Struthio camelus: one gene and its partners. The protein of the gene in region 4 purifies or fractionates together with the protein of the main gene of each other region. This does not show direct contact. Links are inferred from orthologs where the notes say so. Each region holds a gene or a part of one and is shown on either strand. Other genes may lie near its edges.

The links.
Region 1: the proteins of H2AZ1 (region 4) and TRRAP purify together in Homo sapiens (affinity purification with mass spectrometry; 3 studies listed by BioGRID and IntAct, with this or other methods). This does not show direct contact. The link is inferred for Struthio camelus from reciprocal best matches to the Homo sapiens genes H2AZ1 and TRRAP.
Region 2: the proteins of H2AZ1 (region 4) and EPC2 purify together in Homo sapiens (affinity purification with mass spectrometry; 3 studies listed by BioGRID and IntAct, with this or other methods). This does not show direct contact. The link is inferred for Struthio camelus from reciprocal best matches to the Homo sapiens genes H2AZ1 and EPC2.
Region 3: the proteins of H2AZ1 (region 4) and ING3 purify together in Homo sapiens (affinity purification with mass spectrometry; 5 studies listed by BioGRID and IntAct, with this or other methods). This does not show direct contact. The link is inferred for Struthio camelus from reciprocal best matches to the Homo sapiens genes H2AZ1 and ING3.

What each region holds. Positions count from the first base shown.
Region 1 is NC_090956.1:8,614,384-8,621,596, forward strand, and holds the start of TRRAP (transformation/transcription domain-associated protein), read right to left. Parts: upstream 3,218-7,213; 5' UTR 3,149-3,217; intron 2,959-3,148; exon of another isoform or gene 2,763-2,958; intron 2,410-2,762; 5' UTR 2,356-2,409; coding exon 2,256-2,355; intron 1,872-2,255; coding exon 1,822-1,871; intron 1-1,821. Other genes in the region: TMEM130 (transmembrane protein 130), read left to right, coding at 3,329-3,494, 5,850-6,140. UniProt on the Homo sapiens protein: Adapter protein, which is found in various multiprotein chromatin complexes with histone acetyltransferase activity (HAT), which gives a specific tag for epigenetic transcription activation.
Region 2 is NC_090947.1:43,603,536-43,610,717, forward strand, and holds the start of EPC2 (enhancer of polycomb homolog 2), read left to right. Parts: upstream 1-3,903; 5' UTR 3,904-4,163; coding exon 4,164-4,316; intron 4,317-7,182. UniProt on the Homo sapiens protein: May play a role in transcription or DNA repair.
Region 3 is NC_090942.1:26,308,754-26,316,054, forward strand, and holds the start of ING3 (inhibitor of growth protein 3), read right to left. Parts: upstream 3,174-7,301; 5' UTR 2,978-3,173; coding exon 2,950-2,977; intron 2,779-2,949; coding exon 2,707-2,778; intron 1-2,706. UniProt on the Homo sapiens protein: Component of the NuA4 histone acetyltransferase (HAT) complex which is involved in transcriptional activation of select genes principally by acetylation of nucleosomal histones H4 and H2A.
Region 4 is NC_090945.1:27,837,886-27,846,192, reverse strand, and holds H2AZ1 (histone H2A.Z), read right to left. Parts: upstream 3,048-8,307; 5' UTR 2,747-3,047; coding exon 2,744-2,746; intron 2,588-2,743; coding exon of another isoform or gene 2,507-2,587; exon of another isoform or gene 2,283-2,506; intron 2,269-2,282; coding exon 2,191-2,268; intron 1,738-2,190; coding exon 1,624-1,737; intron 1,155-1,623; coding exon 1,025-1,154; intron 878-1,024; coding exon 816-877; 3' UTR 478-815; downstream 1-477. UniProt on the Homo sapiens protein: Variant histone H2A which replaces conventional H2A in a subset of nucleosomes. Nucleosomes wrap and compact DNA into chromatin, limiting DNA accessibility to the cellular machineries which require DNA as a template.

The DNA of each region.
Region 1 (7,213 bases), on a different chromosome or scaffold from region 4:
TAATGTTAGGGTGAAGTACCTGTCTTAAATCTCACTTTAAAACCCGTCATACTCACTAATTCACATCCAGTTCTATCCCTGGCTAGAGAGGCATGGAGATTAATTTTGTAGCCAACAGACTTCAAATACCGTAACTTCCAACAAACAGTTAAGAAGTGAAAAATATTTCTTCACTTACAGAAGTAAAAAATGAAAACTAATAAAGTTTACACTTAATGGAAATGGAAGTAGGTGACAGAGAAAAGTTAAAATGGACACTATGGAAACACAAGATGAAAGGAGTCCATCTAAGAGCTAGCAGAATGATCGGCAACAGTAACTTCTGCACTCTTCCAAAAAAATCAAAAATAAAAAAACCACCACCACTATATTAGCCATTCCTCTTGCTCCCTCGTAGTTCCATACAAACGAAACTGTGCTTAAGCATAAGTCAATTCATCCTCTTTATACGTAGGGTCACGTTACAGAACCAAGCAAGTTCCAAGAGAAGAAAAATACTCTATCTTGAACATTATCAAAAGAAATACTGAACAAGTTCTTCCCTACTGATGGCAAGGGCAAAGAGAACCAGCTCAGCTTTCAGATTTCAGCGAGATCACTAGATAAAGCCATTATAGCTACTCTTTTAGTCAGATATCAAATTAGGCTGGCGTGCCATCTTTGAAGCAAACATATACTGAAACTCCAAAAGGACATTTTAGACAGTCACTTAAGCTCTGCCCACCCTGACATATGGACGCAGATCACAGATGTCTACTTATTTGCTCACACAAGCTAAACAAGAATTTCGCCTTTTAATTCTCTTTATCATACAGTTACACTAGCTCAAATTGCATTCCTCTGTGTTAACCTGAACTAAATCAAACAATTCACTGGACAGGAAATTCCATTAATAGCACAGGAACAACTGAAATTGGTACAACCTTGCACAAACAGCACTGGAATGCAGCAACCTGTTGGACGTAACTTTGCGCAAAGCTGACAGAAAAATATTTGAAGACATTAAACAGCACTGGAATGGGTATTTTTGTGTCAGCATCTCAGACTAACAGAGATCACTTCAAATGAAGTTTATAAAACAGAGTGTGTTACAGCAGGGCATTGTTCTCACAAGCACATTTTCAAAGCAGTATAACTAAGAAACTAGATACAGAGAATTACAGTGATTCAGAGACCTTAAACTTACATTACAAAATAACAAGTTCTCTGTAATTTCAAAATAGACACATAGTAACTCAGTACTCAATAAAAGTACAATTCCCATGAACACATAGTTAGTTTAACTTCATTGCTGCTGATCTAAACTTGATGGTCTATTACGATGCAAAAGAGGTCACTGGAACTGTCTTCACTTCTAATGTCAGATTCCACATTGGACAACTGCCCCCTCACTTCTGTGCTATGAAACTATGCAGAAAAATCTGCGAAGGCCTATCTAGTCTTCTACTTCATGAGGACCAAATATATATTTGAATTAAATAAAAGAAAGTTCCAAATACATAGGTTTCAGATAGTTAGCCAAAATGGAAGAAAAAAAAAATCTATCACATCACCTTTATTTAAACATTTATCGAGAAAAGATTAGAGATCTCCAAGCCCAGAAGTCATAATTCTTCAATAATCTTGCTAATTCCAAACAAGACAGAAACATAATAAAAAATGAAGATTTCCATACATAAATATAATCCTAACATTGGTGACTTACAAGATAAATCATAAGACACAATATTAAGCTTTACACATAACATCAGAAATCAAGCTGACATACATTAGGCAAAAGAAGGACTATCGTTCAGGAAGCAATTTTTTTTTTAAGTTTACCTCAAAATTCTCACTGACTTCTTGCATCATTTTCAATTTGGTTTCATCGGCTGAAAACGGAAATTGAAGCAAAAGAAATTAAATGTAAAACTACATCGTAGAAGGGACACCAGCTCCACCGATCAAAGAAGCAATCAGATCTTATCAGTCCAGCTATCACCGCCCAGGTAGAAGGCACACGATTCTCACAAACATCCCTCTGTCATACAACGGCACACGCACACAGCTCTCTCGCTTCGGCTCATGCAAATATTACTCATCACTTTGCTTCTTCAAAAATCAAAACTCAAACCAAATCCAAAGCGAATCCAGCACGCCTTTATCCCCGCTAGTCTAGCCAACGCCGCCCCTGTCTGTGAAGCAAACGACGGAAACACGGCAACCCGCAGCACAAAAGGAAAAAAAAAGAAAAGAGGGAAAAAAGCGCATCTTACGTGTGTTGACATCTGTGAGAGCGGCCACGAACTGCAGGTATTTTTTCATCAGAGTGGTTTGGTCCACCACGGTGGGCCCTTGCGCGGTGACGAACGCCATGCCGGGGGCGGCGGGGCCGGCTGCTTTCAGCGCTCACAGCCGACACCAGCACACCTGCAAGAAACACAAAACACCTCTTCAAGTTCATGCGACCGGCAAACAGCAGCTGACGCGCTGCCCCCGCAGCCGCGGCTCGGGTTTGTTAGACGGGGACGCATCTCCTCCGACATGGCAGCTGTCACGCTTAGTTTGGCTGATCCGTAAGGGCTGGCGCTCGGGGCGGCGGAAAGGCGCCCCAGGCCCCAGCGGACCCCCGGCGCGGCCCGCACCTGCCGCCGCCATCGCGCCCGCCCCAGAACGGCCTTAACGCCGCCGCCGGCCCCCTCCTTCCTCCTCCTCCTCCTCCTCCTGCTGCCGCCGCTGCCCGCGGCGCGCCGGTTCCGCCCGCGGACCAGGCCGGGCCTCACCTCACCTCAGCGCCGGCCCGGGCCTAGGCCGCGCCGAGGCGCCGCCACCGCCGCCGCCGCTCCTCACCCCGCGCCCGGCCGGCCCCGGCCCCGGCCCCGGGCCCCCTCCTTTGTTGCTCCCGGCGCGGAGGCCGGCGGAGGCGCATGGGCGCAACGGAAGCGCCCGAGCCCAGTTCCGGCCGCCGCCACCGCCGCCGCCACCGCCCCCCGGCCCGGGGCGGGGCCGCGGTCCCCGCGCCTCCCCCGGCCCCGCGCGGGCGGCTTCGCCCGGCACCGGCCCCGCCGCCGCCCTCCCTCCCTCCCTCCCTCCGGCGGGCGAGGGGTCACCGGGGCGGCGCGGGGAGCCGCGGAGGGCAGCGGCGGAGCCCCGCAGCCGCGGGCGGTACCTCAGCTGCGCCGCGGAAACCCGCCGCCTTGTCGGCCGGGAGCGGGACTGCCCCCTCGCCGCGGGGCAGGGTTTGGGCTGGTTTGAGGTGTTTTTGAGGGGGGAAAAAAAAAAAAAAAAAAAAAAAGCCTTGGCGGCTTGCGCGGAGCCCGTCACGTTGGCGGCGGGCCTCGGGGCGGGGATGGGGGCTGTCCCCGCCAGGGCCGGGCCGGGCGCCGCAGGCTGGAAGCGGCCGGCGGCGCGGACGGAGGTGGCGCAGCGGCGGCGGTGCCTGCCCATGGCCGCCGCCGGCATCCTGCGGCTGAGCTGCCTGGCCCTGCTGCTCCGCCGCCCCGGCTCGGCCGCAGGTAAGGCGGAGCGGGCGGACCCCCCACCCCCCCCGGCGGCGGCGGCGGCAGGTGCCCGGTGCCGCGCCTGCCTCCTGCGCCTCCCGGCCCCCTCCAAAAGGCTCCTGCTGCCCGCGCAGCCCCCGGCTGTGCTGCGGCAAGGGGCTGGGGAGCCGCAGGACCGCCGAGGGCTGGACGAGCCCTCGCTGACTCACGGCCCGACCTTGCGTTAGCTGCCTGCTGTCCAGCCGCGGCAGCCGCGGGGCTCCAGCCTGGCCCCGGCTGGCCTGGAGTGCCTTGACCGCCTCTGGGGAGAAGCTGCTGGGTTAGCCCAAGGCCGCTGGCCGTTTGTCCGAGCTTTGTTCAAACAAAGCGGAGGGTAGCCTGAGTCTTCTGGAGACCTGAAAGCTCCCTGTGTCAGACTTCATTCAATCACCCGCGCTTCTCTGTTGGCTCAAAATTTGTGAACCCGGGGCCTTTCTCATGTTACGAAGTGGGAACGGTGAAGTTCTCACTCAGAAAGCAATGCTGCGGTTATTTTTCCTCCATCCTTTTGCATCCAATGTTGCTTAGCACCTGGGATCTGTGGAGTGAAATTAGGGGCCTAATGAGATGTTTGAGGTCTCTTTTCTTACCACCCCGGCTCGGAGGGGGACGCGAAAGGCATGCAGGGGCTAGCTGACCCCAGCGCTCCCTCCGGCCCGAGCGCTGCATTAGAGGCCCCAGGTGGGCGAGAAGTGCAACTTCTGCAGTTCAGAGGTTCTGCCGAGTCCCCGGCGTGATGAGCCCCAGCAGTGCAGCGCTCTGCTCAGCGTTGCTTTGTTGGGCTCCTGCGAGGTGATAACTAGCCAGACACTGCTGGGAGGAGGATGGGTACGCCGCGGGGGAGGCAAAAAACAGTCTGTTCCCAGCTCTCCCAGTTCCCAGCCCTCCATGGTTGTTGCATTTGGTTTTGTTGTTCCAACATGTGCAAGTCATTTAATGTCGCACTGCCATTTCTTAACCCACAAAATAAGTGCAGCAGTGCTTTCCCAGCACTGAAACCTGGGGATGTAACCCCCGGTTAAAACTGAATTTAGTATCCTTTCCGTAAAACCAAACCTTGCCCAGCTCTGCCCGATGTAGTAGTTGTAAGAGCGTAAGTAAGTAGCTTGTGTAAATGCAGCAGGGAAGAGAAGGGGGAGCAAGGCAGAGCAGCAGGGCTGTTTTTCAAGGTCACGAGTTTGGCACCCCCTTGCACCTCGCTGTTCCAGTTGTGAAAGCCATGAAGTAAGAACCCTTTTTTTTTTGCCCTTGAGGGCTGAACTGATCAAACACTAGGATGTTGGTAGCAGCTACAGCTTCAAATGCACAAGTTTCATTTATACTGAAATCTTTGGCCCTTTCCTAGAAAGGGACGTTAACAGTAGACCATAGATAAGTAGCTGGTACTGAGTTTCCATACTTGGGCAGAAGGTGGAGGGTACCAGGGTACCTGTGTGTCAGCAGAGCTGATAAAGGAAACTACTGCATGAAATCCTGCTTGGGCCTGAAAGTTCATTTTTAGTCCAAGGCTTTGCCCAGTGAGAGATTTCTTTAAGCAAGTTGGTAATTTGTCCTTTCTGTAACTGCAGAGAATTTTGCAGTGTCCTCACCTTTGACTTCCTCACTACAGCCCTGGTCTTAAAAAGAAAAAAAAAAAGTGGAAGTGCACCAACTGCTTTTATTTTGTTGTGTTTAAGTTATTTTCATGTTTAATGCAATTTTCAGAATGGACGCTTAATGCCAAACAGTAGAAACAGGTATAAGGCGCCGAAATATTTTTGAAAACTCTAGTGAGCATGCACCTACATCTGCAGATGCCTGCACACTGAAAGTTAGCCTATTTCAGCAAGGTTGGCCTGGCCTGCCTTTTCCTTTGCAAAGGATCTTCCTCTGCCATACAAATCCTTTTCAGCACGTGACTTTTCCATTCTGTTTTGAGTGAGAATTGAAACAACACGGATTAGATTTGAACCTGAAGCTTTTCAAGTGGATGGAAGTTTAGTGAGTATGGTGTTAGATTGCTAATGAACATAATGTTAGATTATAGCCCAGCTCTAGCTATAAAGCCTCCTCAAAGTTTTTTGGATGTTCAAATTAACATTTTTTGTTTAGGCTACCCCTTACTATTAACATTTCTAGGACCAATTCCTAGATGTTCTTTAATGCTACCTGTTTGAATTCAAATATATATGTGCGTAACAGTTTCAGTTCTAGCCTTTTACATGGTAAAAAAGGTGGCAAAGTCTTAGCTGGCATTAGTATCATCGTGAATCACGTAACTACAGCTGACCAGTGAGAATGTGAAGAAATAAAAATTGCAAAACAAAGAGATTTTTCTTCTGATTTTTGCAGAGGAGTATGATCTGGAAATAACCAACAACGGTCCCATCACAACAGGAGCTCAAGCTACTGTTCGTGCCAGTCTAAGTATGAAGAATGACAGAATGGCCTCACACTTTTATCATTTTAACTGGATTTATGCTCCTCTGATTCTCATTGAGAAATCAGAGCAGCGGTTTCACTCCCTGATTAATGTGACTGGTGAATTTCCTGGGACTTTTCCTGTATCTGTCTGGGTGACTCACAAAAACTGTTGGTTGTGTCGGCCTGTTGCTAGAAATGTCACCGTACTTCACATCACAGGTAAAATGGCTTTACAACTTCTACAGCTTCTTTACGACTTCTTGAATTCTTCAGGAATTCAAGCTACATCACAGTGGCTGCACTACCTTTGCTAGTATCAGAACGAGCAAAGGCCATCTCGGACAGGCCGTGTGCTAACCAGGCCACGTTGTCTCCCTGCGTCCGGGAAGCAAGCGTGGTGCTGCCCGTGTTTTCCTGCCTCTCTCGCTTAGGGGAACCAAGCTAGAAACCAGACGCTCCAGTAGCTGTAGGTCACGCATCAGTGCTGTTTGGTGATACCCAGTGCTGCCTGTGTAGCTGCTCAGCGTTTCGAGTCCCATTGTTAGGGCAACCGGAAGGAGCCACAATTGACTAGTTTTCCCTTTTGCATGACATAGAAAAACTTAGGCCATCAGCATGACAGAGCTGTTACACTTTCTTTCAAAGTTCAGGATGATCATCCTGAAACGAGAGGTGGAGTCATGGCTGCCTTTCCAAATTGCATCTTACTGTCATATTCATAGCCATAAACAGGCACTTTTGGACAAACTGGCACATGGGGCAGTGTGGTTAGCCTAAGCTCTGAGGCAGGGATCAACGTGAAGCATCCTTTGACAGCGTTCCGTGATCCCTTCCTCCAAAGACAGGCAAGCGCGTCCCTCCAGCCATGTGTCCCAGCTGCTCTCCTTGTGCGCTCCAAAACAGACCGACCCCACGTTCTGCAGCGGCAGAGGAGCAGCATGAGGACATCAATGATGACAAAAGAGCCTACCTGACATTTTGAGGAATAGCTATTACAATTTTTCTTTGAGAAACGCCAAGGGAAAGCCTTTATAAAAATATACATAAGATCTTTTCTCTCTTAAAAATTGCTGCCTTGCTGAATAGCTGCTTATTCCTTTTTCTCTTTGCACTGACTTAAAGTCTCATGTCACTAGAAAAAGGGATAGACATTTTTTATAGCTATGGTAAGCTAAGGTAAGATCTTGTTGTATCCTTCTGCCTTCCCCAAACAAGAGAATGATCTAAATTTTCTAACCTATGAATAAAGAGGTGTCATGATGATACGCTGACCAGCTCATTATAAAATGAAT
Region 2 (7,182 bases), on a different chromosome or scaffold from region 4:
TTGGGTTTCTTTTTCATCCTGACTAACAGATTTCCATAGATTTCCACAGATATATGTGTGCAAATTAAATCTGGCTATTTCTGGTCCATCCAGCATACAAGTGTGTATATTTAATTGCATTATTTTACATAGAAAACATGAAGACAATTCAGGATTCAACTACTGAACAAATTATGTTGTTTGCGACATTGATTCCTTGATTTGTGCATCAAAAGTAAGCTATTTATCTCTAGGTCAAATGCAGCTGGCAATTATTTCTACAGCTAAAATTCTTCAGAAAATCGGTAATATTTTGCAAGGTGAAGAGATAAGAGTATGTACTAAAAAGATGTATGGTTCTGGCTTAAAGCTAAGCTACATAGTATTAATATAAGTTGAAGCTTTAGTTTTACTCATGTTCAGCTATGTGCAATGGCTTTTTTCACTATATAAAAAAAGCTCAGTATACCACAGGGCATCTTTTAAAAAAAACTTGCATTGTGCATAAAAATAAAATAATGGGACCAACAGCCACCTTGAGGGTAAATATGCTGCATCTTTTTCTGTTTTGATTTAAGCAGCGAAGAACGAACAAAACATGCACACAAAGGGGGTAAGGTTATTAGTATCTATGGTTCAATTGTGCTAACTGAAAAAGCAAAAAAAAAAAAAATCTTATGGCAGTGTATAAAATGCCTCTTTCTTGCTGGATGGGAAGCAGAAAGAGGAAAATCCTTCTTGTCAGTTAACTACTTGAGGAAGTACCTCAGAAGGAACTGCCTGTCCCATGCAGCTAGCCTAACCTTTCCAAGTGCGTGTTATTTGTACAGCAGGGCTGCAACTATGTAACTGACAACTAAGGAATCTATATAATGGGTGTTTTTACAGAAAATTCATGAACCATGAACTGAAAATGCATTTTATTTACTGACACCGGAGTTCATGCCCCTCATATACTTTGTCAACTACTCTATCCTTATTTTAATTTCTACTTTCTCGGGCTCAGGTGGTGGGACTACATTGCTATACAGATCAGCGAGGATGAACAGGATGCACAGTTTCCCCCCTCAGAAAGAGCCTGTAAGTTGAATTTGACTGAAGATCTGAATATTGGTCTTTCGGTGCTACATGGTAAGACTGAAAATCCAAAGCTCATGCAGAAGCACATTGCAATTGCTCTCTGAAAAATGGCAGCCCTCAGCTACTACCAAGCAACTGTTAATCTGGGGATATCAAATCAATTTTGGGTGGTGGAAATTTGGCTGCTTCTCAAATGGTGCTTAACTAAAATATAAATTCGAAACTGTAAATTACACAACTTCAAGTGTTTGTGCAAACAGAAACATTGTCAGAAGGCACTGTCAAAAATTAATCAAATCTCTACTGCAGAAGGAAGTTCAGAACCTGAATCTCTGTGGAGTAATTCCCATAACAGAATTGCTCCTGATTCGCAGTAATGGAAGATTCAGAGGTGCTGCTGTAGATCTCCTTGCCTGGCTTAAATACAAGTTCCGCATGTTTTCTACTGTTAGCACATGGCATTAACTCTTGAAACATGCTCCAAATTTTCAGCTGATGAAGAGTGAAGCCGTCCACCTCCTACACAGGTTTGGCAGCTATAAGCACATAAGATTGGTACTTAGCTCTCTGAACTGGTTTATGATATGCTTCTGCATGAAGGGTGTTAATTATAATCCAAATCAAGAATTGTCTCTTTATGAGTAAAAATATTTAAAGGAAATTATAAATAAGGGCAGTGTATCAGTATTGTTCTTTGTTCCTTTTCTCATAATCTTTGATGCTTCACTTGTTCATATGACTATTATTGAACATTAATCTGATGCTTTCATAGAAGTAGCTAACATAATTTCCAGATCTCTTTCCCAAGCTAATGCAGTTCTATGGGTTATGTAGGTAAAGTTATTGTCATTTCTTTTTCCTCTTGTGCATTATTGCACTTGATCCATCATCTCCTCTATTTCTCTCTCTAGTTGATGCAATTCTTTATTCTTCATTTTGTAAATGTTGTGTTTATCATGAACAGGAGTTGCATTTAAACTATATAATTACCAAATGCATCAGGTAACTAATAACAAACTCTAAATCACTCTGCAAAATTCAGTGACTGAACTTACTTAGTCAACGTTTTTTAAAATAAAAAAAATGGAATGTTATTCTCGGTTGGCATGTACTCCAAAGGGAAACATGCTCAAGTTTTATTTGACTAACAGTTCAAGCTAGTTCCAGAGACAGAAGATTGTACTGACAACTCCTCTAAGAGCTATAAGGAAGAGATGAGGAAAAGCAGCTGACCTGATCGCAAGGTGTCAGGATAATATGCAAGTGATGAGTATTTGAAGTACTAAAGACCTTTTACAAAGGGCTTTGCAGATTAAAGTCACTACACTGAATAGATGTGGGAAGCTCTGAAATGGTAGAAGTCTGTAGCCTTGTTCACACGGGCAGCTCAGGTTTATTCCTTCCATGTTGAAAGTACTCTTCGGTAAGCTGGGTGCCTTGTTCCTGTTTAGCTTAGTGTACTTTGCAAGTGGGCTAAACCAAATAGGAACAGGGCACTTTTATAGCAGAAGCATGCCAGCGCATACAACACACAGCTATCCTTAAGTAACTCCAGACGTTGACAAAACTTTAGTACAAAATTTCATACGTGAGAAATTTTGTACCAGGATTCTGCAGTATACGGACCTTCTGCCCCTCTTCAAGGCTAAGTCCATGTAAAGAGCAATACAGGAAATCGCTCCTGAAGGAAAAAAAAATCCTGGGCAGGCATGAGCTTATTTCTGCACTGTTAGTTTGTGACATAACTGAAGTCTGTGGCCTTTACCCTATCTTGTTTTGCACAGCACACATTTCTAACTGAAGCAATGCTTAAACAGTGAGCAATGCTGCCTTACAGGGATGTGTTGAAGTCCAAAAGGTAGCGAGGGAGCTGTGAACACAGCGAGGACCGTGTGATTCTGCGGAGCTGAAGCGCTGCTGCACAGCATGAACGCTGTCTCTCACAGGAGGCTGATCGTCCCTCACACAACGCTAATCTGAGGGAGGGCGGTTACGTGCCACCAAGTTAACTTATGTCAACCTAAGTGAATTCTCTTCACCACTGAAGATGTTTTTATTGCTAAAATCTGTTGTAATCCCAAAATAACCGATGAGCCCGCGTAATCCCACATAAAAATACAAAGAAGGATAAAGACGTTAAGTTTCACCGCCAGCAAAACTTGCTACGGCTGCACTCTTGACAGGTGTCACAGAGCTGCTGCTGGGGAGCCACAATCTGCCTGAGGAGGCTGAAGCACCTGAGATCATCTCTGAGAACAAGGAAATTTCGTCCCAGTGAGGAGCAGCCGGGAATATACTTCGAACGTACTACGGGAGTAGGGGAGTGCACGGTGCGTCTTACGCCTTCTCGGTGTCAGGCCGTTTCCAGAGGGAAAATTTCCGGCCGATCGTTTCGGGAATAAAACACCCGAGGTGTCAGCCTGGATAAGGCGTGAGAGTTACCTGGCCGAGGGGACGAGCTCGGGTCCTGCGTGCCACCTCCGGCTCTCGGGCTGGAGCCCTGCGGCGGGAGGCGAGCGCAAGCTGCGCGGTTTAACGGCCCCAACGGTCGGCGCGCGCGGCCACAGCGCCGCGCAGCGCCCACCCGCCTCTAGTGACGCACTCTACCCCGCCGCCCGAGCCGGGGGACGGCGGGTCCCCTCTCCCGGCTCGGCGGGATCGGCGCCGCTACCGTCCCAGCCCGCCTCAACCGCCCTCCCCTCACAGCAGCAGCAGCAGTAGCAGTAGCAGCAGCAGCAGCAGCGCCGCCGCCGCCGCCGCCGCCGCCCGCCTCAGGCTGCGCGCGCACCGCGCCTCCCCCCCCACCCCCCCTCCCGCCCGTTCCGAGCTCTCGCGTTGGCTGTCGGGATCGCTGGCCGCTTTGGTTAATGTCCGCCATGTTTGCCATGGCGCAGGGAGCGGATCGAGCGAGCCCGGCGCGGATCTAGGGCTGCGGGGCGTGCGCTGTGAGCTACGGGCGGCCCCGCGGAGAGCTGTTCCGGGGCGGCGGGACCCTCCATGGTGTTGCGGGCCGGGTGCGGGAGCGGCTGGGAGGCGGCGGCGCGGCCGCAGTGAGGGGCCCCCCCGCCCGCCCGGCCCCGGGGTGTTATTGTGAGGGGGAGACAATGAGCAAACTCTCCTTCCGAGCCCGGGCGCTAGACGCCGCCAAACCGCTGCCCATCTACCGCGGCAAGGACATGCCCGACCTCAACGACTGCGTCTCCATCAACCGGGCTGTGCCGCAGATGCCCACGGGCATGGAGAAAGAGGAGGAATCGGTAAGGGAGCCGCGCAGGGGGGGCACCATTGTTTATCAGACACCCCCCCTCCCCTCACGGGAAATAGGCCATTGGCATTCACCAAGCGCACTACGCACGCTCCCCGCCGCGGCGCTGCACGGCTCTTATGGGGCCCTGCGCAAAGAGCGCAGCGTAAACTGCTGTCCGACGCCGTAAGCGGGCCCTGCTCCGCCATCTTCTTTGCGTCCCGACTCGCGAGTGTTTTGATTAGTGGGGGGGGGGAGGCGGGGGGGGGCAGGCCTTTACGTTAGCGTAAGAAGGAGGAAGGCGCAAGAGGCGTCTCTGAATGAGCGGGCGAGCGTTGGGGCCGCCGCTGGCGTAGCGCGCCTTGGCTGCCGCCGCTCGCCTTGTGCGCGCGGCGGGAGCGGGCCGGGCCGGGCAGGGGGGGCCCCGCGAGGGGAGCGCGGCCGCGGCGGTGCGGCTGCTGCTGCTGCCGCCGCGGCCCCCGGGCGGAGCGCCGAGGGACGGGACGGGGCGCCGGGACAGGGCAGCGGCGTGCCGAGCCGGCAGGCCGCCCGCCGCGTTAAAGCACGCTGGTTGTGGCAGATGCGCTGCTAATAAATTCTTGGTAGTTTTTGGGAGAAAGCTTTTATAAGAACGCTTTTTGTTCGTACTTGGGCGGGGGAAGCGTTTCGTGCTGCAGAGTGTACGCCAGCTGTCAGGCACGGCAGCTGGATGTGTTGCATTAAGCATTATGCTTTTAAGCATTTAGATTTTTGGTTTTTTTTTTTAACTAAGCAAGTTTTAAAAATACGTACGCGATACTTGTTCTCCTTTCCCTAGTACGATAGAGAGAAAGAAGTTTTGTCCCCTTAAGGCAAAGATAAGTTTCTCGGGGTTTTCAAAGCATTGGTGCAGCACTTTGGAAGTGTATGCCCACAGCTCTGTTGCTTGTGTGTGCTGTTTTGTGTTACTGATGCTTAAACATCGACTCCTATGCTCCTTCGAGTTGTGTCTAGCTTAGACTTAGGTTGTTGCCCTCATGTGTCTGCACTTGCATGTTGAGCTGATAGTAAAGGCACCCTCAAGAGTTTCTTCAATGAATCCCTGTCTCCGCCTCAGCCAAACCTCTGTGCGTGTGGATTGGCTTTTCAGAGGTTACAGCTGTCAGAGGAAGCTTCGTGCCTTTCCGATTGGCTTTCTCACTTGACTATTGATATTAGAAGTCGTCCTTCTCTCTCTTACCGTTGGTTTCTTCTGCTGCTTACTTCACCGTATTGCAGTCTGTAATGCACTGTGATCAAAACTTCCAAAGAGTAAATCTGCCCCAGACTCTGAGAGCGTATTTGAAATGAGCAGCGATGTGATACTAATGCAGCAATCTTGGAGGGTAATATGGTTTTCTTAGATTTCAATAAAGTCTGCCTTGTAGTCCTCTGTTTGCATTTGATGTTTATTAAGTGTGGCTTATTTTAAAAAATGTTTTCTTGCTAACTCATATTTTAAATTTGTTAGTGGAAAAATTTCTCTAAGAGTTCAAGCAAGGTGCTTGTGGGCTGCTTAAATGACTGTGAAGAGGATTAGATTTATACTTTAATAAAACTGCTCTAGTGTTATACTAAAATGTTTCTTTCTGTATGTTTTTTTCCTGCACTGAAATGTGGCTGTACTTGATATATTATGCCATAATCTCAGAATGACATGGTCATTGATGCAGTATACAAGCTTAATGCTAAATACATCAGCCAAACAATATTATTAACAGATTGTTTATATTATTGCCATGTAATGACAGTTTCACTTAGGGTATAGGCCTTTCCCTGGGTTGCACAAATAATTTTTTGATGTAGATTTTTGTGTTAGTAGCACGTAAAGCACCTCTGGGAAAGGCTGCTGTTGTAGATGACAGTAGTTAAATATTCGAGGGCTTCACTTTAAACAGCTTTTATCATAGTAAGCGTTACTCAGATGTGATTTGGTCTATTTTGAGAGGGACTTTTGGAGGAGGGGTATATACGCATACTCCTTTCTGACATCTCAGTTACTTAGGTGTCTCAGGACCTTTTTAAACTCAGACTTCTGCCAGGGATACATCCTGTGAAAGGTGGCTGAACCATTAGGATAGCTCATGATTTGAACTTGCTGTACACAGACACAAAGCTCATGTTACTGTGGCCCCAGTATACTTCCATCCTTGGTGTGCTGCTATATCTGTAAAGCCTCAGTGAAAACAGAAGGATCTTGCAGTACAGTGGATCATGGGGTTAAGTGTTGTCTTCCAGATCTGATTTTTAACTGGAAATAATTATATATATTTACAGATTTCTCAAGTTTTAAAATAGCTAAGGTTGCTCTGTTTGTCTTGCCTGCTGTTCTTTACAACCTAGTCTTGCTGGTACAGGCATATGAACTGCTTTGTTCGTGATTAATATTTTATATATACAGAAATGCAGATTTTAGTCCATTTGTTTTTAGTGTGATTTATTTTTGGTGATAAAGTTTTTATTTAAGTAGTAGTATTGTGTTTGGAACGTGGATAGGGTTAAAGTTCAGGGAATTCTAATCATTGTCACCTGCTTCTTGTATTAATACTAAGGTTATTTGTATTAAAATGTCATAAATCACTGCTTTTGCAGAAGCACAATATAAGCCACCAGCCAGCCCATTCCAGAAAACAGTCCTGCTCAATGTGAGCATGAGTGTCTTTATCTGGCTTTTCTTTTGATTTGATCTTGATGAATATTCTGGAGTTATTTCCCATTTCAGTATCTTAGAGATTTGCATCCACTCATACAACCTTTTAGAGATCAGCAGCTCACTTTTTTTGTATTGTAACTCACGTGGCGATTCCAAGTGTTAATGTTAGAGATTCCAAGTTAGCAAGTGTTTATAATTTAACAGAAAT
Region 3 (7,301 bases), on a different chromosome or scaffold from region 4:
CCTCAAGGATAAAACGCTCCATCTTCTCTTCCAAGAGTGAAAACAGCTAGGTGAGGAACAGCAAGATTATTATGGCTTCCCAGACACGAAAAAAAAATTTCCCTCTTTACTTTTTACTGAGGACACCTTTCACTCTGTGTGAAATTGCATATGTGAAAACTTTCAAAGAAATTTGGACTCTCTTGAAAGGTTAGGACTGTTAAGGGGGAAACACAGGAGAGAACCTATTCAATTATCCAAAGGTTCTCTCTGGTATATGTAAGTTCCTTCAGTTTTTCTGTTTCTCCCTCTGCCCCCTTCTAAGCCTACTGTGACACTACATTCTGACATAATAATTTCTTAGAACAGATTTCGCAAGGGAGTTGCCAGAAATTCTACTAGAATAGAGAACTTTTTTCCCAGAGCTTGACATTTTATCACGGAGGCCTGATAATCCATGACTTGAACTGAAATAGATAAAGACATTTTAAGCTCCACATGTAAACTGTCTTAGTTGGACATCAACAGTCAAAGTCACAACTTGGATGTTCTTCCCTTTCCCACAGGTATTATCAAGACGTAAAATAGATACAGTTGGTTTGCCTATACTTATTCCAATGACAAGAAGCAACACCTGTCCCTTTAGAAGTCCATGTTCCCCACAAAGGACAGACTATAAAGTCAGTATCAACTCTGACAGTAGTGCAGTTATCGCTTTATGACTCTTGTAGTTTTCTGAGACAGCATCCCTTGCATAAATGCTGTTTTCAAGGCCGTCAGAGACACTGAAGCTACACAGAAAGTCACTATTTCACAGCATCAGAATAATCTGGTTGATACGGAACATTCAGCTGGCTGTCTGGCAATTGACATGGAAGAGATGAGAGTTCTGGAGTTTTGTAATGTCTTGGGATGTTTTGTCACTCATTGTGCAAGAATTATTGAAGTACTACGGTCCAAAAGAGATTTGTTTTTTTCAATCTGGGCCTAAGGTTGAACTTAGTATAAAATACTTAGTGTCATTTGCCATTTCCAGTTATGGCAGAGGAAACGACAGTACTGCAGCCTTGGCAACACTAGTCGGCTCGTCCTGAAATACACTTTAAGTACTAGCTTTGTTTCCATACTCAATAGAAGGCAAATTTGTGATCTTATTTGGAACTACCTAAGCCCACGAGCTGCTTCCTTCCCTCTCCTGGTGCTCCCTAGTGACACTTACTTCATAAATGTTATCTCCTACTGCTCAGCTCCTGAGCCACTGTTCACGTCCTTTGGCTTTGGCATTGAAGCCAGGATAGCACTTACACCACAGTATACAGAAAAACTTATAGCCAGTTCAACACACATTAATAAAGTCTGTCAAACAGACCAGCTGGAATCATTAAAGTAAATACCTCAGATCAAGCTTGAGACCTCACTTGAAAGGATTATAGGTCAAACTATTGTTTGACCTATTGCACTCCTAGACAGCAAAATATTGTAAGCATGGTGCTGCATTTCATACTACTGCACTGCACCAACTTGTTACTTCAATCCTTGTTCTTTCTCTCTCTCATTCTTCCTTATGATTGCCCAGTCCTTCTGTATTGATGAATCCTCGCAACTTTTGTCACAAAGAACAATTTCGTCAACAAAGAGCTTTGCATTATGGTCATGACCATATTAATTGTGTGTTAAATGACAGCAACACCTAACTAGAGCCAAAGAATCCTTTAGCATCCTGACATAAGTCATAGATGAGACCAAAAGGCAAGGAATCCTGAAAACAAAATTAGGCAGCATCTGAAATCAGGATATAAACACAAGATATACAAAAAGATCAACAGAGAAACGTAAAGTGGACGTATATTTGGTAAGTGCCAGCTAAGGCACAAGAGACTAGGCAGAAAACATTTTCACATGTACAATCATGAGGGGAGATGGCTGGAAGGTTTCAGAAACAGCGCACAGCGACCTGCTGGAAGAGCGGGATAAAACTCATGCTCCAACCCACCACCACTGCTCTTAGGAATCAAAAGTCTAAAGAGTTTGGGACATGCCACCGAAAACGCCTTAAGGAGCGGCACAAGCCCAGGAGCGAAGCTCCTGTCAAATCCTAGCTGCGCGGAGACGGCGCTGTGAGCGGCCGGGCGGCTCGGCGGGGCCGCGGCTCGGCCCCGCTCGCTGACATAGCGCCAGGCGCGCGCGCTCCGCCCCTCGCTGCGTCCCGGCGGCTCCCCGCGCGGCGCCGGGGCTCCGCAGCGCCGCCTCCCGCAGCCGCAGCCGCGCCCGCTCCGACAGCGCCGCGCCATCGCTCTCCCGTAGGAGAAGACGCCAGGAGCCCGGCGCGGCGCTGGCTGCCGGCCCCCCGGAAGGGGCGACGAGACGCAGCCGGCCGCGTGGCGCGGCCCCCCGCACCGGACCGGCCTGCGGCGCTGCCGGAGAGACAGGGCGTCGGGAGGGGAGGGGAGGGGAGGGGGGCGAGCCACCCGCGGGCCACCGCGCGGGGCGGCGGCGGGGAACGGGGCTGCCCAGGCAGGCCGCAGCGCCTGCCGCGGCGCTGTTTCGCCCCCTCTTCTCCTGCCCCCGGCGCGAGCGAGCCGGTGCCCGCGGCCGCCCCCCGCCGGCGGGCCGGGCCGGGCCGGGCCGAGCGGCGCAGGCGGGCGCGGGGAGGAGGAGGAGGAGAGGCGAGGGGAAGCGCGGGAGGGGAGGGGGCGGGCAGAGGAGGAGGGGGCGGGACTCACGTACTCTGCACCTGCAGGTCCATCTCGCGCATCTCGGTGAACCTGTCGCGCAGATCCATGGGAAGCTGCTCGATCACTGCGGGCACACGGAGGGGCGGGGGGGAGGGAGACGGGGAGGAGGGAGGAAGTCAGTCACCGCCGTGGGGGAGGGGGGGAACCGCCTCGTCGCCGCGGCTCCCCCCTCCCCGCGGCCCCCCTCCGCTAGCTATGCCCCGCCGCCCGGCATCCCCGTCCCGTACACACTCACTCTCCAGATAGTCCTCCAGATACAGCATGGCGGCGGCCGGGCGAGCGCCAAGGGGCTTCTCGCTAACGGGGGCTCGTCCCTTCCAATATGGCGCCGCCGCCAACAACACCAGCAGCTCGACTCAGCGAAAACAACATTGGCGGCTGACGGGGCTCGGCTCGGCCGCGCCGCAATTGGCTGCCCGCGCCTCTGACGCACGCCGTGCCTCGCGCGCCGCCGACGGCATCACGGGAAATGTAGTTTCTGCCCGGGGAAGGGCCGGGAAACTACGTGTGCCATGATGCACTGCGGCGGCCGCTCCTTCCCGCCCTCCCGTTTCTGCTGGCGCGGTGGGGGGAGCTGGGCGGGCGGGGTGGCGGCTGCGGGGCGCCGCGTAGCTACCGCGGGCCGCTCCGCTGCCTCCCGACCCTTGTGCCCTGCGTTGTCACTGGGGGTTTCTTACAGCCCCAGGTCCTGGAGTTTAATGTTAGAGTCCGTGCGCTGTCTTTTCGCCAGAAAAAGAGTAGTATAGATAGTAATAAAAGTTACAGGTATAATGGGATATCTGTGGGCTTTGGAATTGCTCTTTAGTGTAGAAAAAATAATTAGCAAATAGATAGAAATGAGTAAGTTACAAGGCTTCTTATTGTAATTTACTTGTTAAATGTTTTGAGCTGAAGTTTTTCCGCAGTTTCAATCCCCGGAATACCTTTATTTCATCGCTGTTTTATCATTAATTGTATTTCCTGGTCTAGTCATGCGCTAATGCGTAGAAGACAGTGATTGTTTTTGTCCAGATGTTCCTACGGTGTAATATGGTTTTTGATGGTGGGGAGGACTTTTCAGGGAGTGGGTGATACCGGATGTAGATAGAGGCAGCGTAAGAATTGCCATACCAGAAAAGACAAGTTTTCTGCCATGTTTGTTATCTTTTCGTTTGGTCATCTGCGCCATATGCATCCAAGCAAGGAAAGGAAGTATATGGCTTAGCCAAGTGTGAGAAAAAAACAGTGCAGGATGTTTTTGAGTGTCAGGATGAAGGGAAAATTGCATTCTTTTCTCATGTTTTAAGTACATATGTTGTGAGTAATTAGCTAAAAATGATTTAATTTTGGAAGCTGGAGCTTAAATTCTGTGTGTGGCTTTTATGAAGATTTTCATTTTAGTTCTGTCTCAAAAACATAATATATAGCCAAGCATTCTTTTATATTCCTACCTTATTGTAAATGAAAAAAAAAAAAGTATAACAATAACTATGAACTTCTTGGAAAAGTGTTATACCTAAGTGGTCGCTTTCCATTTTCATTCCATCAATTAGCTGTTTGTTCTGCACTGCTGATACAGAAGTATTGACTAATGTCATAAATACCGCTGAACAATTTTTAGATGCAGTTAAGCCCAGTAAGTATCAGTCAGGAGCAATAGTTGAAAGCATCTGCACTCTTTAAAGTACAAATTTTAACATGCTGGTATAGGAATGACAATGTTTTTGAAGTTCTGTGTGAGAAATTGCTTGTGCCCCTGTTGTTATGTGGAAGACAAACGCTCTGATCCTTCCTGGGAAATGAATCGCTACACTTCTATTAAAGTGAAAGGGTTCGATGTGGCAAGATAACTTAGCGTATTCAAATGCACAGCTAAAGTAATCATATCCTATTTTCATTAGGAGAAAAGGATGGTGAATTTAGGGAAATCTGAATTGATGGGGGTCACTTTTTTCGTTTTCAGTGATGGCTTTAATGTTCCCTAAAGACTGAAAACAAAATTTTATAGTAGACAAAATGGATATGTATGTATACATACATATCCAACAGATATTTAAGAGAACAATATTGTACAAAAATATTGTACAAAACAACTCCACCATTAGAACTACAACTGAAGCACAGTTATATGGTAAAGTCTCACCATGGTGCCCCATGACCGAAATCACAGGACAGCCAGGATGCTGGGACTTGTAACCGTCTCCTGTGCTGAATTTGCTGCATAATAACTCTCTCTTTCATGCCTGAGTTTGCTGCGTGCCTGAGTTTGTGGGCTTGGGGAGAGTCAGCAGAATGCTCACCAAGAGCTAGTGTGATAGGGTGTTTTCAAATATTTCCTGTGTACTGTGGTACCCAAATGAAGCAAACTAAGAAACACGTTGCTTGAGGCTGGGTCTCAGTCACTCCTTTTAATGCTAGCGTTTGCACCGTCCGCATGAGTGGCAAGGGAAAATGGGACTCAGGCACGCCAACAGAATGACAAAGACAAGATTCTGGTGGGGCTGGACCCTGCTATCTCCAAGGCAGGAGTGGCCCCCTTTGTGTTTTAGTGGAATGTGTCAGCAACTTTTGTAAAATTAGGAAGCTTCTTTAAAAATCATGCATTGTAGTGCTTTACAGCAGGGGATGGGAGGGGATAATGTAGAGTATGAGTGAAAATAGAATTTAGCTTTGTTCAGTATTGAAAAGCAAATATGAACTCCTTTATCTATCTGTAGTCTCTTTTTTGTACAATTGGAGAAATTGTCACATAGTCCATTTCTGCCGGTGTTAATTCACACTGTATACTCAAGTGTATAGCCAACCAAATTCAGTGGGATTGTGTGAGTAACTACTGCTCATCATGGCAGACTGACAGAACAGAGTTTAAATTGCCACTTTAAGAAGTGATTAGCCTTAAAGGCCGTACAAAAGGAACAATATTTTTACAGTGAAAAGCTTCCTATTGTGTATAAATGTAAAGACCTGACTTTCAGAACAGCCTAATTGGAACAACCTATTTAGAGCAGCTCCTGATCAGGGAAAGAGGGATTAATGACAGTGTTTATTGGGATGCAAATGCATTTAAAAAAGAAGTAAACACTAGCTGTGAATTCAAGCTAAAAAGAAATTCAATTTGTGAATTGCAATCAACATTGTTCAAAAAAACCTTCCATATAGCAGTAGACATGCTTAGCATAGAGGAAAGAATGGAAGCCATAGGAGTTGCTGTTTCCTCCTGCTGGTATAAACTGTAACATTATTAATGTTGATGGCCTTTGTCCTGCAAATGCTTCACATAAATCATGTCTCATCACTTGTGGCAGAATGATGGCATAAAGGAATATTGCAGTTGCTCTGTGATCTACCTAAAGCTAATCGCTTGCATAGGTTTCATTAGTTTTCAGCTGTCAGGAAAGAAAAAAAGATTAAAAAACATGGATTTATGTTCTGATGTACATTTCTTAGATGAGGCTCAGACTCTTCTGTCTTTTCCCTCTCATCTGTCCTTTCCCATTCCAGATCTCTGTGATGTCTTTTTTTCCATAATTCTGTTCTGTCACTTCCCACTTGCAGGCTTGTGTGCCAAGTCTCTGACTTCCTTCTGTCCAACTTCCCGTTCCTCCTCAATCAGTTGTTCTTTCCATTCACTGTCCTTCTCCTATCCATTCTGTCTGTCTTGCAAGCTATATGTTTTTCAGGGGCTTTCTATACCTATTCGGGAGTGTCACTGTTGCGTAGTTTCTTTGGTACTTTGATTTTTAACTCTTACCTAATCCAGTGTTTTTAAACCTATAGTCCTTGTGTTTTGCTTGTTTTTTCAAGGACTGTTTACTAATACTTTGATTTGAAAAAATCAGGAAAGACCTATCTAGCCCATCCCTAGACTGATGATCCTAGGTCTCAGCTACTGCTGGTAGGTTTGTGCGCTTTGAATTTCTCATATGGGAGTCTGTCCCCTTTGCACACAAAGACTGCTAACATACAATGTGAAGCAAAAGCTCTTTGTTACTGAGGTCTAGACTGTGCTCGCTAAAGAGCTTTAAGAGACAGTGACAGCCAGCCAGCACTAAGTAATGGTGCAACAGAGCCTGTGTACAAGTACCAGCCTAGGCAGCTCTTAAAATACTGGATGCGAGAATTTTGCTTTTCTTTGGCACTGCCCCGTTTGCAGTACAGCAGTCCTATCTGGCGGAAATCCATTCACCACGGTGTGCTGCAGCGAGCATTTGCTGCCGATAGCAACATTCCTAGCAGTTTACAGAGTTTTGTCTGAATACCAGTGTTAGCATCAGGCCCTTGGTCTCCTTACAGGCTTTCAACTACTTTATTATAATATTTCCTCATCTGTTTGTTGCCTACTCTCTTTCTGCTGCTGTTACCTTTCCATTCTTTCCAGACCTTCCTCTCTTGCAGTCCAACTGTCCCTCTCAGCAGCTGTGGACCTCACCATCTCCCGTATTCTGCCCCTTCTTCTTCCACAGCCTCATTCTCACTGTGCAGGAAATAACTGTCATTCCAGCTGTACTATACACCCATGGCTATGGAGGACATTAGTTAAATTACTAAATTGTCTTGAGACTGAGTACCATGTAAAGGTTACAGCATGATCGTATTTGTTCTGGGCAA
Region 4 (8,307 bases):
ATATTATGAGCCAGTGGAAACTACTGCAGTACATTTCTCATTGCTTTTACAGACTTGTCCATTGCCCTTCACTAGAAGAAAAGCTATAGAAATATGCAGGCAGAAGTTTATATTTTCAGCCTCCAGTCAAAAAGCTCCCATTCTTCTTCATCCACGATAGCTGGAAGGTTACTAGCAAGTAACACTGTCCCGAAATAGCAGAGCCCTCAGATATACCTTTCTAAAAGGTCATTCTATGCATCAGGCTCAATTATTAAGAATCTGTTTCAACCTCATGAGGTGAAGCATGCACACCATGTCACTCAGAGATGGCTGTATCTACTAAGTGCAGAATTCTAGGACTATGTTTCCATTTGAAAATGGACACCTGCAGTACTTCGCAGCTTGGAGAACTGTCACAACTGTGTGTTCTTGGAACTACTCTTCTTCAGGGCTCCATTATTGAGACCAAGTGTTTTCCAGTAGCACATGAGACAATTAGTATTGATATAACATTTATTGAATATTTCCACTCTAGTGGATGAAAAGTCTGTACAAAACCAAACATTTCCTTTACTTAATCAAACCGATCTAAAAACAGTCAGCTCAATCAAAACCCACTACAAATACAATAGCTTCTTTGAAGCCATGGTAACACTTAAATACGGTTAAGACTTCAATGCAGAAATTTGGTTTGTTAGAAAGCTCGGTGAGCTTTAGCTTCTCAAAGTTACAAAAAGGCAAAATTGTGTTTCACAGATACAGTCCACTGGAATCACCAACACTGGACAATTAAGTACTTAGAGTCCTGAGATAACACAGAATCCTGGTATCCTTTAGACAGTTTTCTGTTGTCCTTTCTTTCCAATGAGAGACTTGTGGATATGTGGTATTACACCTAAGAGAGAACAATACCAAGAATTAAGATCAAGTTATTCCATGTTATCAGATTTGGCTAAACTTTACACTTCAAATAGATTAAACAACCTTTGAGACTACTGGACTCCTTGTCACTTAACACAAAGTTAGAAAGCAAGTTACATACCACCACCAGCAATTGTTGCCTTAATGAGAGAGTCCAATTCTTCATCTCCTCTAATTGCAAGCTGCAAGTGACGGGGAGTGATACGTTTCACCTTCAAGTCTTTGGATGCGTTTCCTGCCAGCTCAAGAACCTGAAGACAAGAACATTTTCAGATTGAGTTAAGCAAGTCACACGAGACCAATTGCATTGCTTTAGCAATTTCCTTCTTTACAACAACTGTATAGTTACCGACAAAAAGATATCAAACAATGCGTCTTTTTTAGCCAGCTCCTCTTTTAGAGCTTTGGATTTAGTTTCCCCCAAGGAAAGAATGATGTTTTGCAGCAGACAGAACATGCTGTAACTGCACATTTTATGAAGTACTTCACCATTTGTGTCTTCAACATAAGCCACAGCTACTTGCTCTGCATAAAATCCAGAGCAAAAATTTCCATACATGCTTTATGGTCTCCTCAAGAAGCATGTACTTCACAAAACAGGCTTAAAGCAAATGAAGAGTTCATAACCCAGTCTGAACTGGCAAAATACAGGAGACTCCAGTCATTACACCATTTCAGCTGGACTGACCAACTTGCTTGTACCCCTTGCAGCAGCTTTACCTCAGCTGTCAAGTACTCCAGGATTGCCGCGCTATACACAGCAGCTGTAGCTCCTACACGCCCATGGCTGGTGGTCCTTGACTTCAGATGCCTGTGGATGCGGCCAACAGGGAACTGAAAGATAAGAGAAGTAGGAGTAGGCTGTCACCATAGAAACAGAAGAAAAACACTATTCTGAAATACTCTGGCTGCAGGGATTCTGTTGTCTAGCATATGCAACTGGTGCTAGTTGAATTCTAGTGCCAGAGATGCTGTGTAGCACAGAAGACTACATTTCAACACCTAGTATACAGTGTCCTTAGCTGGATTCCCCAGACGACATCAGCAACTTCACTTCACAAACCACTAGCAGTAGCAACCGCAAGGCAATTCTCTTCCCCAGCACAGATGTACAGCAAGTCCAGAGCATGCTTGAGCCAAACACTGACATATTTGAGGATCAAACAGATCTTTACACCATTCCAAATAATGGACAGAAGGCACAGCCTGTCCAGATTTCAAAAGGTACCACCTGCAAGCATAAAGCCAACCTGACTTCCATCTGCCCATGCCCCAGTCTCTGCTCACCTGCAAGCCAGCCCTCTGAGAACGGGACACCGCTTTGGTCTTGGTCTTTCCAGAGTCCTTCCCAGCTTTACCACCAGCCTAACAAAGAAGAGATACGTGTAAGAACAGATACGTCCGCGGCAATGCTACATCCCCCGCCTCTCCTCCCCTACCTGTCAGGGACCGCAGCCAAGGTCTCAGTCAGGGACCGCGCAGCGGCGGCATCCTACCCGCGCATGCGCTCCCGGCCCTTCCCTCCCGCAGGGCGGCACGCGCTACGCCAAGGCGCGTGCGCTCTGCCCGCTACACCTAGCGGCACAGGCCGCTCGCCGGGCGCATGCGCCGCAGCCACTCCCTCTCCCCGGCGGCACCAGTGCGCGTGCGACCCTCCGCGCGCCCCTCCCCCGCCTACCGGCAGGTAAAGCGCCTGCCGCTGCTTGCGCGCGCTCACTCGCTCCCTTCCCCCGCGCGTGCTCCCACCTCCTCCCAACTGCCGCCACCGGATCGCCTCGCTCTCTGCCATCGCCGAGGCGGCGCGGCCCCGCGCCCCCCCCTCCCCTGCGCGGCTCCTCACCATCGTGAACGGGACCGTAGCGCCACGCACGGGGACACAGAGGAGAAGAGCGTCCCGCACGCACCGAGCCCAGGCGACAACGCTGACCTGCCCCGACGCGCCGCGATTCAAACTGCGCCCGCTCCCGCCTTCCCCCGGCGCTTTATAACCGCCGAGCGCGCCTGCATCCGGGAACCCCAGCCTCGCCGCCAGCCAATCGCCGCAGGCTGGGGCGGGGCGCCTTCGCACGGCGACAACCAATGGGAGGGGCGGGGGGGGCCGCGCCGACCTCGCTACGACAGAGCTGAGGGGGGCGCTGGCGAGCGGCGCCGTTCCGCAGAGGGCCCGCCCACATTTAAAGGAGCAGGAGCCTACGGCTCGCGCCGCGGCAGGGGGGGGGCCTGTTCCGCCATGCCGGGCTGTGCCGGGGCCCCGCCCGCTCGGGGCGGCCGGCGGTGCCTGCGCCGCGGGGGGTGGGGGGGGCGCGGCCCTCCGCTGGGGGAGGGGGTTCCGAGCCGCCCGCGCGGGGAAACCGCGGGCCTCGGCCCCAACCGCCGCTGCAGCCGGGTAACGGCCGCCCGGCTTTGAACCGTGCGTGTCGTGCCCCCCCCCACCCCCGCCCCCGTTTTCCAGTTACTCGGCGCGGTTAAGACGCCTTCCCCGAGGGAGCTCGGCGGCACGCCCCGGCAGAGCTGTGCTTGATGGCTTTATGCAGCTATTTAAAAGAGAAGCTGAGCGCCTGTCAGGTAATGAGCTGTGTATTAGCCAGCGAGATTCTGAAAAGCCTTTTCAGCATCTTGCGTGCTGCTAGGTGGGAGAGTCATAGCCGTAAAAGCATTGCTTAACCAGTCGCTGTTATTAGGTTTCAAGCTCTCAGGAGCTCAAGTCAGATTAACAAGATATGTGAAGTGTGCTCTGATGTAAAATTGCCATCTGAATGGCACCCACTCAGTTGTCACCTCAGACTGCAGACACCTTCCTTCTCTATCAGGAAGTCAGAGCTGCAGCCTTGCATAATCCGCATGCTCGTGTGTGCGCACAACAAGCCTTCCCCACCCCAAATACAGCAGCACCTGGCTCCCACCTGCCCCCCCCCCCAAAAAAAAAAAAAAAAAAAAAATCAAGACATGAAATCAAGTCCTGAAGGCCTCCCCAGACTTCTGAACAGGAATAAATCAAATTGTTAACCTCCCCCCCACACTTCCCTCATGCAACAGTGTTTCCTATCTCACCTGCTGCTTTTGGCAGCAAAGGCAAGCCAATTGTGTGCAACCCTTAGCAGCACACAGAGCGCTTCTCCTATTCCAGCTGCCATCACCATTATTGCAGCTGCAGGAGATGACAGGGATCAGAGGAGGTTAGGAAATGTGGCATTCATAGTAGAAAGCAGATGAGGTTTAAGGACTTGGTGGGGTTACCTGCATGAGAAGTGTTTGCCAGAACTCATCTAGTTGATATTACTGTAGTGCCTAAACTTATAAATAATTATTGCCATGTCCCATTGGACACCCAAGAGCAGGAAGTCTGACAAGACCCTATAAAGGAAGTACTAAACATCAGTCAAAGACAACCATAGTTCTGTTACAGCTATATGGCAAATGCATGGTGCCGGGCAGCTTCTGCAAGAAGCATAGTCTGTTGAGGTCCTTCAGAGAGAATATAAGTCACATGAAGCTACTTGAAAGTATACTCACTCTCACAATGTATAATTTAAGGTGATGGAAGAGATTGTGCTATTACAGAGCAGCCTACAAATAAGGGGGTCTTTATGCTATACAAAGATACTATTTGATAATCATTCTCAGTCAGTTCTTCGACTGAGAGCCTGAACATGATGTGCTTCACACTTTAATTTATCATGTTGCCAGCTGAAACACTTCAATGAAGTTAATTGACTTAGTGTACAAAGCAGTTTAGAAGCAGACGGAATGAGGTTACATCTCAGACTTGGGATGAGGTGCTATTGCTATATTGGCAAACACATGAGGCCAACCAATGTGGTTTCAGCAGAGATGAAGTCACATCAACTGCTTGTGACACTGGGGGAGGGGAAGTGCCAGCATGTCAAACAACTGTGCACACACGCACTAGTTTTTATTTTTACCTCAGTCTTATGTAAGAGCCACATGATTACCAAGGGCAACCCTGCTTCAGACCCATTCATCTTACTGAATATTTCAAACTGTAGTTAAACCATTCATTCTGAATTCAGTTCTTTCCAAGTATAACTTTAAATTAATGCAGTGCAGATGTCCTTTGCTTGGGCACTTCAAAACCCTGCCAATATTGCCCTGAAATGAAGCCTTAGCCCCATTTTTTTGGCAGGTGCCATTTCCAGTGCAGTATAGTTATTTCTGCTGCAGAAAAAAAGCAGCAGACTGGCCATTTAACCTCAGAAATGATTTGTAGGTTTTGTCTGTTAATTTCTCTTTCAGCTCTAAAAAGCTAACTATTCATGGTGCAATTCCAAAACATGATAGATCTTAGTTTTAGATGATGTCTAATTCACCTGGGAGCATCAAACATGCTCAGGCAGAAGTCCTGGTACTTCAGTGAATGAATAGCTGTTTAGAGCTAAGACTACCTCAGTCTGTCATACACTTTACTAATAAAAATCACCAAATTACCCTTTCAGATGTGAATATGTCTTTCCTTAAACCTCAATATCAAAGAGTCCAAGCAAGAGCAGTACTCTTACAGACTGAAGTTTAACAGGAGATGGAGCTGTTGACATGAACTTTATGTAAGGCTATTCTTCTCCACAACTTTTCTTTCTTCCTATCTATAACAAGCCAAAGATACAGAGTTCTAAGATACATGTCTAACTGCTGATGCCTAGAGCTCGTCCTCAAAGTCTTTTCTGCTATATACTAAAATAGTAAAGATTTAAACTTCATTACCAGGGTACCTATTATTGAATGTCAGCCATGGCAATAAGAGTCTCAAATCAAGTTGACACTTACAACCACTTTATGAGCTTGAGCAATTTTACATCAGCAAAACAGACAGAAGAGCTAATAGTTTAGGTGTCTTTAGTTGCTAACCAGCTACCTACGAGCAGGAGTCCGAGTCCCAGGGAGCATTGTCATTTAGCTGCTCTTTCTTCAGAGCCATGTGTTCAGTGCACTGGCAGAATGGACTCTGCCCGAGTCTTCAAACAGTCCCAGATCATATCATCACTACCCTTTACCTCCAAGTTTCAGTTCAGCCATTTTATGCTAGCTAGTCCCACTTCAGGGTAGAGACCTAATTCTATCTAGCTAGGCACAAGCACAAAGGCAGGATCACATTAAGAGCAGACACTCCTACATTCAGGAATTTGGCGTTTTGTTTTTATATTGCTGTCTGGTGCCTCTATCTATTTGAAGCATTAGTTATTTATATTTTCCTTCAACAAACTCCAAGTTAAGGGTTTTTTTTTTTTTTAATGTTAAAAAAAAAAAATCAAGATTTTTACAGAAGCCTGCAGAAGTTAGGATTTCATTCAACCTACTGTTTAAAAAAATGGGTTCTGTCTGAAGTGCCTAGCAAGGATCAATTCACCCTCTTCCTTAAAGGAAACAGAAGCCCATTTCCAGGCCATAAGACCCTCTGGTAATAGTATACTGGATGCAGTAGGAAAAAATTAATTTTCTTGCTGGTTTCTGTCCACAGAAGTCCTAGGAAACAGAACAAAGAGGACTCCTACCAGATGGAAATAATCCCTACCACAGACATTCCTGGCTTCCCACACAAGTCTCCCTGACAGTTTGCTTCAGCTGCATGCTTTTAGCCACTTAAGGCCTCTTACAGTTCCAGCTTGCACTACAAGGGCAAGACAGCATAAAACTGAAGATGGTGCTTTGCACTGATGTGTTTAAAGCAAGCATAACCCCTCTTAGCATGCATCAAAGATCAGGGTAGGTAGCTACTTAAGCTAATACAAGGATGTATAGATACTGAATAGATCAGGTGAGACATATGTTAGATAGGATCGTATATGAAAGTAGTCTCTAATCACCCTAAACTAGCTAACAAGCTTCTCAACATAACCAGCAATCCCTCCCCCCCCACACTATTTAAAGAGATAAAGTAAAACTAATGCAAGTACTCTAGGATTAGTCCAAAAGCAACTTCAGAGCCACTTATAAACACAGATAACTCCTATTTCAATCCCCTGTATGCAAAGGGAACACTTACCACCTCCATCCTCCTGACACAACCAGGCTCCTTCTCAATACCCCCAAAACTGCCAACCTGACTATCTTGCCCAGCTTTTATAAAGTAATTGCCTCATTGGGGAGAGAGGGGAATATGCTTCAAGGGGGCACAACTGAGAAATTAGCCTTTATTGGTCCAATTAACATTGATAGGTCCCTTTAATGGGGTGAAAAATCCCTCCAATAGGTAAGGTTATGGGGAATCTGGTGATGCAATGGGTGTAGAAAGGGAAGGAAGAGGCTTGATGTAGTAGTATTCATGCCCAGTAGTCTCAATAGTGAGGCCTGCTGGAGTACCTTTTTGTTATCTCTGACAGGCCAGTGATGAAGAGTGTTTTGCTGCATTTGCTTCAGTACTTGTACACTGCTTTATTAGTATTAAGGTTTTCAGTATTAACGTTTTCTGATGCTTTTGATTACAAAACACTACATTCATACTAAACTGTTTTCTGTAACTGACCTGTCACTGCAGTACAATTACACTCAATCCAATAGACAGGCCAGGATTATGATATACTAGGGTATATGGCCAAGCGATGGGCGCAGGCATCTGCTCAGGCAGCAAAGCCATGCCTGGACATGGGGTGTGACAACTATCTGATTCCCATCAGTAAGCTGACCTGGGTTGAGTGCTGCTCTTGCCCAGCTGCAACACCTACTAACTCTGACCAAGTGGTAAGCCCTGTGTTAGCACGCTTTATACAGATCCCCATTAGGAGGAAGGCAGTCTTACAGCATAAGTTCTCAGGTAAGAATTGTCTCCGCTTTAGAGACAGAGAACTGAAAGTCAGGGACATTGAATCACCTGGTTACGGTCTCAGAGCAAGCAGCTGGTTGGTTGAGTCTCACCAGCTGGCCTTCTGCTCCCAAGAATCTCATCTTCAGCCATGTCTAGAGGATGCTTTCTGTGAGCAGATATGGGCTTGCCATGCTCATGTTTTATGTAGCTTTTCAGCTGTGCTTGTTAGGTGAAGCTCAACATTACATTTACCATTGTCCATTGTCTTCCAGTGTCCAGTCGGCTTGGAGTATGGACAGAGTTCATTCTTCTTTATCTGCAAAGTACAGGGTAGATGTACATTTTGGATGTACCTTACGGATCTACCGTTCTATTTTCTGGGACTTATCTGGGATCTATGCTAGAGCACATCACATCACTAAGGAAGCATGCCTTTATTTCATTTTTTCAGCATGTGTAACGCAACAAAAGCGAGGAGCCTATAACATAGCTTTAGGGAGCCTGTCTTCAGAATAGACCCCAGAGCTCTGTATTAGATGCCTGAGCTCCCTGTGGAATTCAGAGGGGAAGATGTGCATCACAAAATAGGTCCTGAAATTGCCAGCATGTTCAGGGGCGACTCAGCACCTGAGTGATGCTGAGGAGGG